2 linked regions of the Drosophila melanogaster genome follow. The protein of the gene in region 1 interacts with the protein of each later gene in a pairwise test. Each region holds a gene or a part of one and is shown in the gene's direction. Other genes may lie near its edges.

What was found.
Region 2: the proteins of PK2-R2 (region 1) and CG4332 interact in a two-hybrid assay, tested with the Drosophila melanogaster proteins (one large-scale study listed by BioGRID).

What each region holds. Positions count from the first base shown.
Region 1 is NT_033777.3:13,328,474-13,335,961, reverse strand, and holds PK2-R2 (pyrokinin 2 receptor 2), read left to right. Parts: upstream 1-1,795; 5' UTR 1,796-2,072; intron 2,073-3,123; 5' UTR 3,124-3,218; exon of another isoform or gene 3,219-3,533; 5' UTR 3,534-3,710; coding exon 3,711-4,065; intron 4,066-4,312; coding exon 4,313-4,478; intron 4,479-4,557; coding exon 4,558-4,690; intron 4,691-5,008; coding exon 5,009-5,207; intron 5,208-5,275; coding exon 5,276-5,490; intron 5,491-5,645; coding exon 5,646-5,759; intron 5,760-6,006; coding exon 6,007-6,624; 3' UTR 6,625-6,892; downstream 6,893-7,488.
Region 2 is NC_004354.4:13,153,126-13,157,969, forward strand, and holds CG4332 (uncharacterized protein), read left to right. Parts: upstream 1-1,912; 5' UTR 1,913-1,970; coding exon 1,971-2,864; intron 2,865-2,943; coding exon 2,944-3,738; 3' UTR 3,739-4,247; downstream 4,248-4,844. Other genes in the region: CG4318 (uncharacterized protein), read right to left, coding at 1,025-1,735; Bap60 (brahma associated protein 60kD), read right to left, coding at 4,573-4,728, 4,789-4,844.

The sequences.
Region 1 (7,488 bases):
CCAACAAAAAATACAGGCATATAAACAATTAAATGGTATAATCGAAATGAAAGAAAAAGAGAACTATAATAATTAAAAAAAAAAAAACCGTTGTTGTATTCTACTGACAGATAACTTTATATTTGCTGTGCCATCCTTTTTTCCTTTTTAGAAATGTAAAATCAGCCAATTCAAAGTGTTTTAAATGTCTGGGCTCATATCCACTATCTTGTCCTGGCAGACAAGTTTCATATTTTATTTATATAAGCCCCAACTCTTATATTATATTGCCTGTACTTAGGTGAAAGTTAGGGAAAGCAGTGCGCGGCAACGGGTTGGTCGAACTGCAAATGACTTTTGGCCTGCCCTCTCTGCGTGCAATAAAACTAAATGAATTGGAAACTTGCACAAAAATTCAACCAAACTGCTGACGAGGATGCCGCCGTCGCCTGATGACAGAGTCCTGGGCAAAAGGCAAAACTTCAAAATGCCAAACAAAACGCCCCGAATCTGATGTCATGCCCAATGTTCATAAAGAGCAAGGCAAACGAAAATCTCCCCCATTTTCCACTTTCTTGGCCATTTTTCTCGGCTTTCGTCAACAATTGGCAGCCAAAGTTTTGACTGGGAATGCCTTTGCAGCACGTGCTCTGTGTTTTCCCTTCCTTTGAATTCATGAGATACTCGATGTAGAAAATGTTGTAGGGTCCCTGACAAAGAAATGCCAACTCCGACCCTAGATTTTATATCCAACAACCACCAGTATTCATTGTTTGTTTAGGACTTTGTTTTGATTAAGTGCCAAAAAATTGTTTCGAATTATTTACATAAAAATTGAGAAATTGAATGCATGCAATGGATTTGATTTGTTTGCCTCGCGATTCGATTTTCCAAGCGTCTCATATACATTCGCTATATTTGTTTGCTCTTAATATATATCGCACCAACGCTGGGATAGGAAAATACACATTTTATGAGCCGCAAAGCTTTGATAGATTTTCCCGCACATAGCCATAAAAGTTAGGCCCCGGGGCACTAATAAAATCTCCCTTTGACTGATCATAAAACCACGGCATCATGTCCAATTTCGTGACTTGATGTCTGGGGCTCAACGGCGTACAAAGTGGTTGCACAAATTAATTTTAAGCAATTCGGATGTTTTCGCTACAGTAATAAAAGTTTTGCAGAGAAAATCGCACCATATAGTGGCAGTTACATCCAATTATGGTGCGCTGCAATGTAAATAAAATGCATTCATGCAGGAACATATGCATAGTATGCATATGCCAAGTTTTTAAATAGCAAAGTTATATTTGTATATAGTCTCAATTTTACAGAAATACCACGTTAAATCGTTTTCTCACTTAAGGGCACCGAGCGTTTCTAATCCGGAAAATTAGGTTCAGTATAATAAATTTCTGTTCTTATTCTTTGAGCGACCACTTCACCTTTTCCGAGCTGCCTTGACTTAAATTGATTGTGGTTGTCGGTTTAGTTGGGTTTTAAGTGGGCGACAAGGTCGGCATTGCATTGTCCTTTGGCTCTGTTAACATAATAATCAAACAATTTGCCGCCATGGGCAAATTAATACGCCACTAAATAAGATAAACTGCATGGCACTCCAGAATTATTTGCATTTTTATTACCCTTTTGCCGGGGGACCCTTCATATAAGGCCGAAAATCAGCAGCGCGCCGCCGCAGAGAACCGAAAAGCAACCGGTAGTTGTTCGCTGCCGACGTCGCTGTTGCGTCGCTGTTAACGGCAACGACCGTGGCCCGAACGGACTTCGTTGCCAAGATATTTTGGCCAAAAACCCAGTCAGTCGGATGCTGCGGCCCGTTGCTGTAGCCGCCGCCGTCGCTCTTTCGGTTCTTACGTTTTCGGATCATTTGACGACGAAATAAAACGAGATATCGGGAAAACCATCAATTTACGCGTGCCCCTCAGTCATAATTTTACGATTCGGAGAATCATTTTACGTACCAGAATTAATCAGTGCCATACGCAAATAGTTAAAGCCATTAATTCTGTGAGCGTGTATATCAAATTAAGCCCAACACGTTGCGGTCATTAATCAACATTTAGCACATGGTAAAAAACTGATTAGCTATATTGCAATAAAACACCTTAAAAACAAAACGAAATCACATCTCAGAGAAAGTGAGTGAAAGAATGGGGGGAGCACAGAGAGTGCAATGCTCGCAAATGCGAAGGCAGAGTGACAAAATCAAAACAGTTCAAAGCCATAAAAAATAAATGCATTCTGAAAAATGTGGCAGGCATCGTTTGATAAATTTAAATTAAACGTGTTTTAAATGCACAAACGATAGCCAGCCGAGTGTCGAGATATATAATTAATTGCCATTAGGCGGAATGAAAAGTTCCGAACAGGAGCACCGAAACAGTTGTAAACAAGTTGAAAATAAATAAGGCATTATCGGGGGCCTCAAGATCTACAGATTGCCAGTGAAATCCATTGACCCGAAACACTAATGGTGCAGAATCTATAATAACATATTATGCCTCAATGCGAACCGGCTTGCCAAGCGCAAAATATGGAAAATAATAGTAAACCAAATACAAAACTCACACTTTATGGACATGGGCGGGTGCATGGGCATAATTTTTTTCGGTGGGATGCCACACGGTCGATCATCGGAATCATCGGACAACGAAACGAAAACAGAAAAATGAATAAATGAAAACCAGTTTTATCGAATATACAATATAATAAAACCTAATTCGACAGCATTCTTTTGGTTGTGCATATATTGTAGAAACTTTTTTATGATAATGATAATGAAAACGTCCAAAAACGGTCAACAGCGGTCAGCAGCAACAATAACGAAAAGTATAGCCAGAATGTGAACAGAACAGAGCAGAACAGCAGCAGCCGAAAACACTCATCATCTGAATGGAATGAAACTATGTTAATGTTATTAAGTCACCCGGTGTCCATTTGCCATCGTCGTCTCCTTATCCGTCTTATCCACCACCTGACCTTGAGCTTCTGGCTCGTTTCATTCGTTTGCCACCTGGTGTTGGGTGGGAGACGGATCGGCAGGCCTGTCCTTCTCAGCCTTGTAGCAACATCCTTAAATTCATCCAGTGTACACAAATATTTTGACTAAATGCCACTTAGCAATTCAAATTAATTTTCAGCTTCCACTCGCCCTGATCCTGGTCTTTCGCCTAGGACACGCCTGACTGCCGCCTGCCAGTTTCCCAGGATGCCAGGTAAACACACAGGACACAAACACGCTTTAAGACGGGCTCTCTAAGGTGGACCTTAGCAAGCTAAACAAAGCGCACAGCTTACCAACCAAATTGTGTATATGTATAATTTATGGTAATTTAGAAATCTGGAGTAAAAAGCCTTAATGTTTGAATTTGTTTTATTACTAAATTCGTTAAAATGCGTTATTTGTCTTGTATTATTTTATTTAAATTTTAACAAATTTTGAAAAACATAGTTTTATTTAAATAGCACATAGGGTCCACCTTATCACACACATCCGTACACATAATTTAATCCCACACTCATGACAACAGATTGCAAGTGGAGTGGCTCTGGCCTAAGTCGAAATTGATGAGCCCCCGTAAGGGGCGTTATGAAAACATTATTTGCAAGCGAAAGCTTCGATTGAGAATACATACGCAGAAGTCTGAAATTTCCAAAGAAATTCGAAAATAATAGTGCGTATACACACACACAAAGACACACACCCTATGGCAGTCAAAATGCTGCCCACTAACAGTTCCGGTGTCCTGGCAACCGATCTACAACTGTTTCACAATGAGAAATTTCTCTTAAATCTGACACAAGTGCTGAACATCTCCGCGGACAACCTGACCAGCCTTCTCCAGGGCCTGGAGCCGGAGGAGCTTTTGCCCACGGTGACCCCGATGACACCACTTTCACTGCTGGCCACCCTAAGCGTGGGCTACGCCCTCATATTTATCGCCGGCGTTTTGGGCAACCTCATCACATGCATTGTCATTTCGCGGAACAACTTTATGCACACGGCCACCAACTTTTATCTGTTTAACCTCGCTATATCCGACATGATTTTGTTATGCTCAGGTGAGTGCAAAACTAAAATGTTCATGGTTTTTGAATTATAATTTAATTCAGTTCAGTAGTGCAAACAATAAATGGAACTGAGGCATATTAAATTAAAATTTGTAAATAAACAAGAAAATGTAGAGTGAGATATTCGGCAGATGCTCAAATCGATTTGCATTTTGAGGCTATAGGCTATAATTTCAGCTATTATTAAATATTTATAATCACACTATATATTTTGCTATTTTGCTATTTATGTTCTTAGGAATGCCGCAGGACCTCTATAACCTCTGGCACCCGGATAATTATCCTTTCAGTGACAGCATCTGCATATTGGAGAGCGTTCTCTCGGAAACGGCGGCCAATGCGACAGTTCTAACCATTACCGCGTTCACAGTCGAACGATATATTGCCATTTGTCATCCGTTCAGGTAAGGGAACCTTCATTCCTTCCACTGCCCATTTCCATTTTGCCCCAAACTTGCTTAATTGGTTCTGCTTTCGATACAGGCAGCACACGATGTCCAAGTTGTCACGGGCCGTAAAGTTCATATTTGCCATCTGGATAGCTGCCCTTTTGCTGGCCCTGCCCCAAGCCATTCAGTTCTCCGTGGTGATGCAGGGCATGGGAACATCGTGCACGGTGCGTATGATTGATGCGAGACCCTTAATCGTATGTCCCCCAGTTATGAGTTACCTGGTTAATTGATTCGTAGAACCGGTCCTTTGATCCTTTGATTCATTATGTGTTTTCCGTATAGAAAGTTCGAATAGAGAGCCTTTGTGAATTACAAAAAATTTAAGAGCATGATAAAAACAGCGACAATCCCTTACGAGGTTCGACTCAGTTTAGGCAATCAAATTTACAGCCATTGCCTTCCGGCTGTGGCTGTAAGCCAAAACCATATCGTATCGCATGCGAATACACATATATATTATTTTTGTGAAATGCCTGCTGTAGATGAAAAACGACTTTTTTGCCCATGTGTTTGCTGTGTCGGGCTTCCTGTTCTTTGGCGGACCCATGACGGCCATCTGCGTGCTCTATGTCCTCATCGGGGTGAAGTTGAAACGGAGCCGACTCCTGCAGGCGCTTCCCAGGCGATGTTACGATGTAAACCGGGGGATAAGCGCCCAAACGCGAGTCATCCGGATGCTGGGTAAGCAGGATATGAAATATCCGAAATAACTCATGGTTGCATCAGGCGCCCTTATCCAACTTTCCCAGTGGCGGTGGCCGTGGCCTTCTTCATCTGCTGGGCCCCCTTTCACGCCCAGCGGCTGATGGCGGTCTATGGATCCACCTCGGGCATTGAGTCCCAGTGGTTCAACGACGTGTTCAGCATCCTCGACTATACGTCCGGTGTTCTCTACTTCCTCTCAACTTGCATCAACCCGCTGCTCTACAACATCATGAGCCACAAGTTTCGTGAGGCTTTTAAGGTGAGTTTCGCTGCCGGATATTCATTTCTATAGCTTGCGTTAGGAAATTGAAAATAAGCTTCAGGTTACAAGTTTATTAATCGATTCTTTAACGGTCAATTTAGTGATTTTAAACTTCAAGCTAGAATTAAAAAACGTATTTAATCCCATTTTAGGTAACTTTGGCTAGACACTTTGGACTTGGTGGCAAAAATCAGGGAAGGGGGCTTCCTCATACTTACAGCGCTCTTCGACGTAATCAAACGGGTTCACTGCGGCTGCACACAACGGTGAGTGCACTGAGAAAAATTACATAATTATCATTCGATATATGCACTTAAATTCTATTATGTGGCATTATTTAAGAGGAAAATGAAAAGGATTAATATAGTGTATGTCCTGTTTCTCAAAATGAAATTTGAATCACGAGACTTTTTAAAACCACTATAAGATGTTTATTGCGTTACTTATTTTCGTGTCTGGCGACTGCACTTTCCCTTTCTGATTATCCCTCCATTCCTTGATTTCCTCCTGCAGGACAGCGTTCGCACCACAATGACTTCCATGGCGACGACCACCACTGGGCTAAATGGCTCTGCCAATGGCAGTGGCAATGGAACGACAACGGGTCAGTCGGTGCGCCTGAACCGCGTGTCCTTGGACAGTGTCCAGATGCAGGGTCAGAATCGCAGCCGGCAAGACCTCTTCGATAATCCGCGTCGCATGCTCCAGACGCAAATATCGCAGCTGTCATCGGTGGGCGATGCCCATTCCCTCTTGGAGGAGGATTTGCAGTTTCCCGGGGAGCCACTGCAGCGCCAGCCCACGATGTGCTCCATTGACGAGCTCACAGATGACTTGGCCATCTCGCGGTCACGCCTTAAACTTACGCGCATCACCCGCCCACCAGGAGGTGTGACGGGGGGCGTGGCAGGAGGCAGCACAACAGGGGCCGCGGGGTCGGGGGGCGTGAGCGGTGACGAGTCGAGTGGCAAAGTGCGCAAGGCGAAAGTGAAAGTGCTCAAGAGCTCAAGCCCGTTCAAGGGTCTCAGGACCAAATTCAATTGGCGTGCCAGACGCAAAGGCAGCCACAAACCGCACGAAAAGGGGGCGACGGTGAATGGAGGCGACACTGAAGAGCGGGCCGCCTTTTAAAGGGGGTCAGCATATCCTCTATCTGTACTCGATAAGCGAGGTAGTCCATTCCAGTGCCACCTACGTACATTACACACACACACAACTGTGATACGAGCAGCAAGCGCCACTCCAGCTTGTTTGTGTTTTAATTTAGACAAATATTCCGCGTTTGGGGTCAATTATATGGTTGTCCTTACCAATAACCGTAATATAGCCCAAAGCTATAGTTCGAATTATAGTTATAGTGCACGTAATCGAATAAACTATGTAGTTATGTACTCAGTTCAAAAATTCGACCGTTGTTTCATTTATAAAGTGGAGTTTAATAAAAAAAGAATGGACTTTTGATAAAAATAAAATGAATCTACATAGTTAAGCGTAAATAGTATTTGGAGTACAGTGATATATAAATACATATTAAGGTTGATACCCTAATGGTTTTATTATACAATTTAAATATAAAAGCGATCTCAGTTTTTTAAACAGCTGACCGACTTTGTTAGCAGTCCAATAGAAACTGTTATCTAATGTCAGTTTTTCAATATCCATTAATAACATTTCTCTTGCAGTAAATATTTTTTTCCCATTTAATGAATACATTTTTTTTTTTTGAAAGAGTGTGGATCAAGTGGGGATTATCAAGAAGAGGGTTCAATGGGCGTCTGGCTAATTACTGTCAGTAAAAAGCGGGCACTGCATCATAATCCCTGGCCATTAAGATGTTTATCTGGCGCACAAATTCGCTTTTTGGTCTGGAGTCTAGACAGTGGATGAAAGCCATTCTCGCGATTGGCCAACATTCGCTGAAAGCCGCTGTTGGTGACTAATTAGCAGCATGCCATAACGCAGTGTCCCAGTGCATTTTGTTTTAATTTCAGCAAA
Region 2 (4,844 bases), on another chromosome or scaffold:
TTTTTCACTCACAATGTGTTCCAGTTATAAAAGTTAAAAAAAAAAAACAAACAAACAAATCAAAATCGAGGAAAACATGACGTGCAACTTGAAGCGTGCAAATCAATTCAACCTATTTTTATCATATTTTTGTTTCATGATGTGTACATTTTAGTCCTTTAATTTATTCCAAAGGTTTGGAAATTTCGCGCGTGACGAAGAGAGAGAGTTATACATAGTACTTCATAGTTATAATTATATAAAACTCTAGTACCTAATTTTATGAAATCATGTTGTATATACTATATGCTGTATATTGTTATACATAAACCTTTAAATAAAAACTGCTACCAAATACAGTGTCCCAGCGTTTAGTATTTATTCCAACGATCATATATCGGATTGACAAAAAATGAGTATAATCGTTGTGAGGTTCTTTGGAGGTGTTCGCTTTTCGAAGTTCCCTATACTTTGGTAACACGTTGCATTAGTCTTTTAACATCATGGTCGTTCTTCTTGGTTTGGCATTAATTATGGTGTGCATGGTCTTGTGGTTCTTAAGGGCAGAGTTTCTGTTGAAGATCTTGGGGCATCGGGGACACTTGTAGGATCGCATTAATTATGGTGCATGGTCTTGTGGTTCTTAAGGGCAGAGTTTCTGTTGAAGATCTTGGGGCATCGGGGACACTTGTAGGATCGCATTAATTATGGTGCATGGTCTTGTGGTTCTTAAGGGCAGAGTTTCTGTTGAAGATCTTGGGGCATCGGGGACACTTGTAGGATCGCATTAATTATGGTGCATGGTCTCGTGGTTCTTAAGGGCTGAGTTTCTGTTGAAGATCTTGGGGCATCGGGGACACTTGTAGGATCGCATTAATTATGGTGCATGGTCTTGTGGTTCTTAAGGGCAGAGTTTCTGTTGAAGATCTTGGGGCATCGGGGACACTTGTAGGATCGCATTAATTATGGTGCATGGTCTTGTGGTTCTTAAGGGCAGAGTTTCTGTTGAAGATCTTGGGGCATCGGGGACACTTGTAGGATCGCATTAATTATGGTGCATGGTCTCGTGGTTCTTAAGGGCAGAGTTTCTGTTGAAGATCTTGGGGCATCGGGAACACTTGTAGGATCGTAATTCAGGTCTCGAACTATGTACGCGCTCATGGCGCCTAAGACCGCGGATTTGTGCGTAGGACTGGGAGCATTGTAAGCATTTGTAAGGTTTTTCACGCGCATGGACCCACATGTGACACTTAAGGTGCGCAGGTAACATGAAATACTTCCCGCAAATGTTACATTTATGTGTCTTCTTCAGCATTTTCTTCTTGGTATCCTTCTGGGCGCTGCTCTGGCTCACATTGCCATTCCCGTTGGAGTTTGAGTTGGGGCACATATTCTCCACGTTGTCCCCCGGTGAATCGATTGTCAAGTCAATTGTCTCCATCTCCTGGCTGCCATCGACTGGCTCAATCAGTTCAACATCGGAGTCATTCGATCCTTCTTCCTCATAATTCATCTCACTGACCACCATCTCATCCTGCTCAATCACCTGCACGCTGTCCATCCCGTAAGCAGTCTGCGCATCCAGCGCACAAGACTGGCAAATGGTCTTGGGAAAAGGATCCTTCGGTAGAACCGGGAAGCCGCACCAATCGGAAATCATGGTCGCTAGGGAAACGCCGGGTAGCGGCATCGTTTCGAAGATGCATAGCATGTTCTCCATCTCCCTCAAACAGACACGGCACATCCTGGAATCCATTGCTTTTAGTTAAATTTAATTTTTTGACATGTATCACGTTGGGATGGGAATGATAGTTTGGAAACACGTGCTAGGAACGACCGTTAGGGACAATAAAAACCGATAGTTTTTGAAGCTTTAGATCATCGATACTGCCGGAACTATCGATAGCTTCTTTTAATGTTTTGCCGGCTCTAGTGCCAATACCAATAAAACGCCGGCCAACGCACCAACGAGAAAACCGTAAGAGGAGGACATGGCCCTGCCCTCGATCTCCACGCTTCTAGGCGTTGCATTTCTGGCGTACATCGGCCACTCCATCTACCAGATGTCGCAGCTCTTCACTACGCTGCAATGCAGCGGTGTGCCGTGCTACACATCATTCCTGGCGGACAGGCCACGCCTGCAACTGGCATTGTTTTCCTCCCTCAGCAGAAGTCCCATTGCCACCGAGGTGCGGGATCTGTACAAGGCCAAGAGGTTCGACTATGATCAAAACTTTGAGCACGACTTCGAAGTGGATGTGCCGCTGAGGACGCGCCGGAATGGCTCCCTGTATCTTCATGTGGTCTTGGCCTTGGAGGGTGAGCCACTGGAATGGCGTAGCCTGCGCAGAGATGGGCCCACCGTTGTCCATACGATGAGTCTCACGGATTACATAGTGCCGCGGGCGGAGGCCTTTAAACTGCTTGGAGATTCCGAGAAAGGTGCAGCAGCCGCTGTCCAGGAGAAAGAAAAGAAGAAAGCCTCCACCACTGGACGTCCCAGCACCCACATCCGATCGAATGTTTACGTCACCCTGCTCAACGATCTCTATTCCGTTTCGCAAGCGGATGTCCCACCTGAAATGGCCCCCTTGATACGTGTCAATCGCAATCAACAGATCTTGCCCATCCTGCAGACTGATACATTTAATACGCGGCTAAAGGATCTAGTGCCCGTCACCCGCAATACCACCGAATTCACATTCAGCTTCCACTACAAGCCCGTGGGCGTGGGCAAGCTCCGTCTAATGCTGCTCATGGAACACGCCACCCAGGCGCTGCTCACCATTGGATTTGCTACCAAGGATATTGACGAGGTGAAAGGCATCTTTTCGGACACCAATGTATACCTTTTGTGTGGCACCATCTTTGTGTCCAGCATCCATGTGAGTAGAGATTGAAAAATTGCAACATACGTCATATGCTCCAGTCCTATAACTAATTTATGTTTCCCTTTTCCCGCAGATGCTCTTCGACTTTTTAAGCTTTAAGAACGACGTGGCCTTTTGGCGCAAAAAGCAGTCGTACGAGGGGCTATCAAGCCGCACCACAATGTGGCGAGCGTTTTCGCAGATCGTGATCTTTTTTTATCTGCTAGATGAGAATACGTCGTATCTGGTACTTGTGCCAGTTGGCCTGGGCACGCTCATTGAGCTGTGGAAGTGCAAGAAAATCTTCCGTCTGGAGCTTAGCTTCAGTGGCCTGGTTCGTCGCAAGCTGGAGCAAGTTGACCGGCGGAATGGTGACCAAGCTGGCGTGAAGTCAGGTCAGCTGGCGGAGGAGCAGAAGACTGATCAGTTTGACAGACAGGGCATGCGATATCTGAGCTATCTGCTGTATCCGCTTTGTATATGCGGAGCGGTCTATTCGCTCCTCTACCAACCACACCGCTCCTGGTACTCATGGACACTTAACTCACTGGTGAACGGAGTTTACGCCTTCGGTTTCCTGTTCATGTTGCCGCAACTGTTTGTAAACTACAAGCTGAAGTCTGTGGCCGCATTGCCGTGGCGCGCATTTATGTATAAAGCATTTAATACCTTCATCGACGACTTCTTCGCCTTCATCATCACCATGCCCACGGCCCATCGGGTGGCCTGCCTGCGCGATGATATTGTGTTTATTATCTATCTGTATCAGCGCTGGCTGTATCCGGTTGACAAGAGTCGGCTGGACACGGGTCTGTCCATTAGCGAGACCCCGGATACGGGCAACAGCTCATCCGCTTCCATTGCTGCCAATCGCAAGAAGCGAAATTGATCCTATATCAGCAAAAGGAGTAAAGGTTGCACATTCCGCCTATAGCTTGAGGTCTAGCCCGAGACGTAGTAATCCGAGTCCGTCTTTAGTTTACTAGTGATATTAATCCTGTGTTGTAGTCTAAACCGTTTAAAGCTTGTGCGTAAATCGTTAAGTTAAGAAGCATCAACTGAAAATGCGTTTTATACAATTTTAAATCAACAGCATCAAAGGATTGCAGAACTATGGAACTTACTAAAACACATAATTTTAAAGTATAAATTATGAAATATTGTGAGATGACTCAAACGCTGGCCTTTCACATTGTTAGATTGGTCAGCTAAAACCCTACAATAATATATCCAAATGTAGATCAAAACGTATTTTAGAAACAATCAGTTAACATGAAATCGTATAGGATCGTAAGGCTACAAGTGATTCTAAAATCTCAATTAACCAACAAATGCATTTTCTAAAATTTAAAGGGAACCCAAAAGTATCAAAAGGCTAAATATATATAAAGTCAACTGAAATCACTCGTAATAAAAATTAAACTTTAGTGTTTCTAAAAGTGAACCGAATCAAATTTTATAGACAGTTTTATATTTGTATGCCATTTTATTAGCTTACAGTTAAGTCCAATATTTGTGCTGGATGTGGGTATTTGGGACAACTGCAAAGGGGATTTTCGTTTTGGAACGGGATGGAGTTCGGCTTGTCGGAAAAAAAGGAAATATTTTAAGCTTAAACTAAACTGGCGAAGGAAAAAGAGTTTGCCGTGCGCACGGTTTATGGAGGTCTCTTGACGGTGGACTCCACGAATTGGCTGGTGGAGATGATCAGCTCATCATTCACCTAGCCGTTGCGTATGCCCAGCGCCTGCTCCAATTCGGCCCGCTTCTGGTTGACCTTGGTGAAGAAGTAGCGCGAAACGGCCTCGTGCGTCCATGGCTGGTAATAGAACTCCGCCCGACGCTCCTCCTCCGGATTGCCAGCTACATCGGTCATCAGCTGAAAGGACGAAAGGTTTAGACAACGGTATGAGGCAAAAAAGAAAAAAAAAGAACTAACCTTCAAATCCCTCGTCTCACTGATGATCCAGCGATGAATAAACATTTGTGGATCCT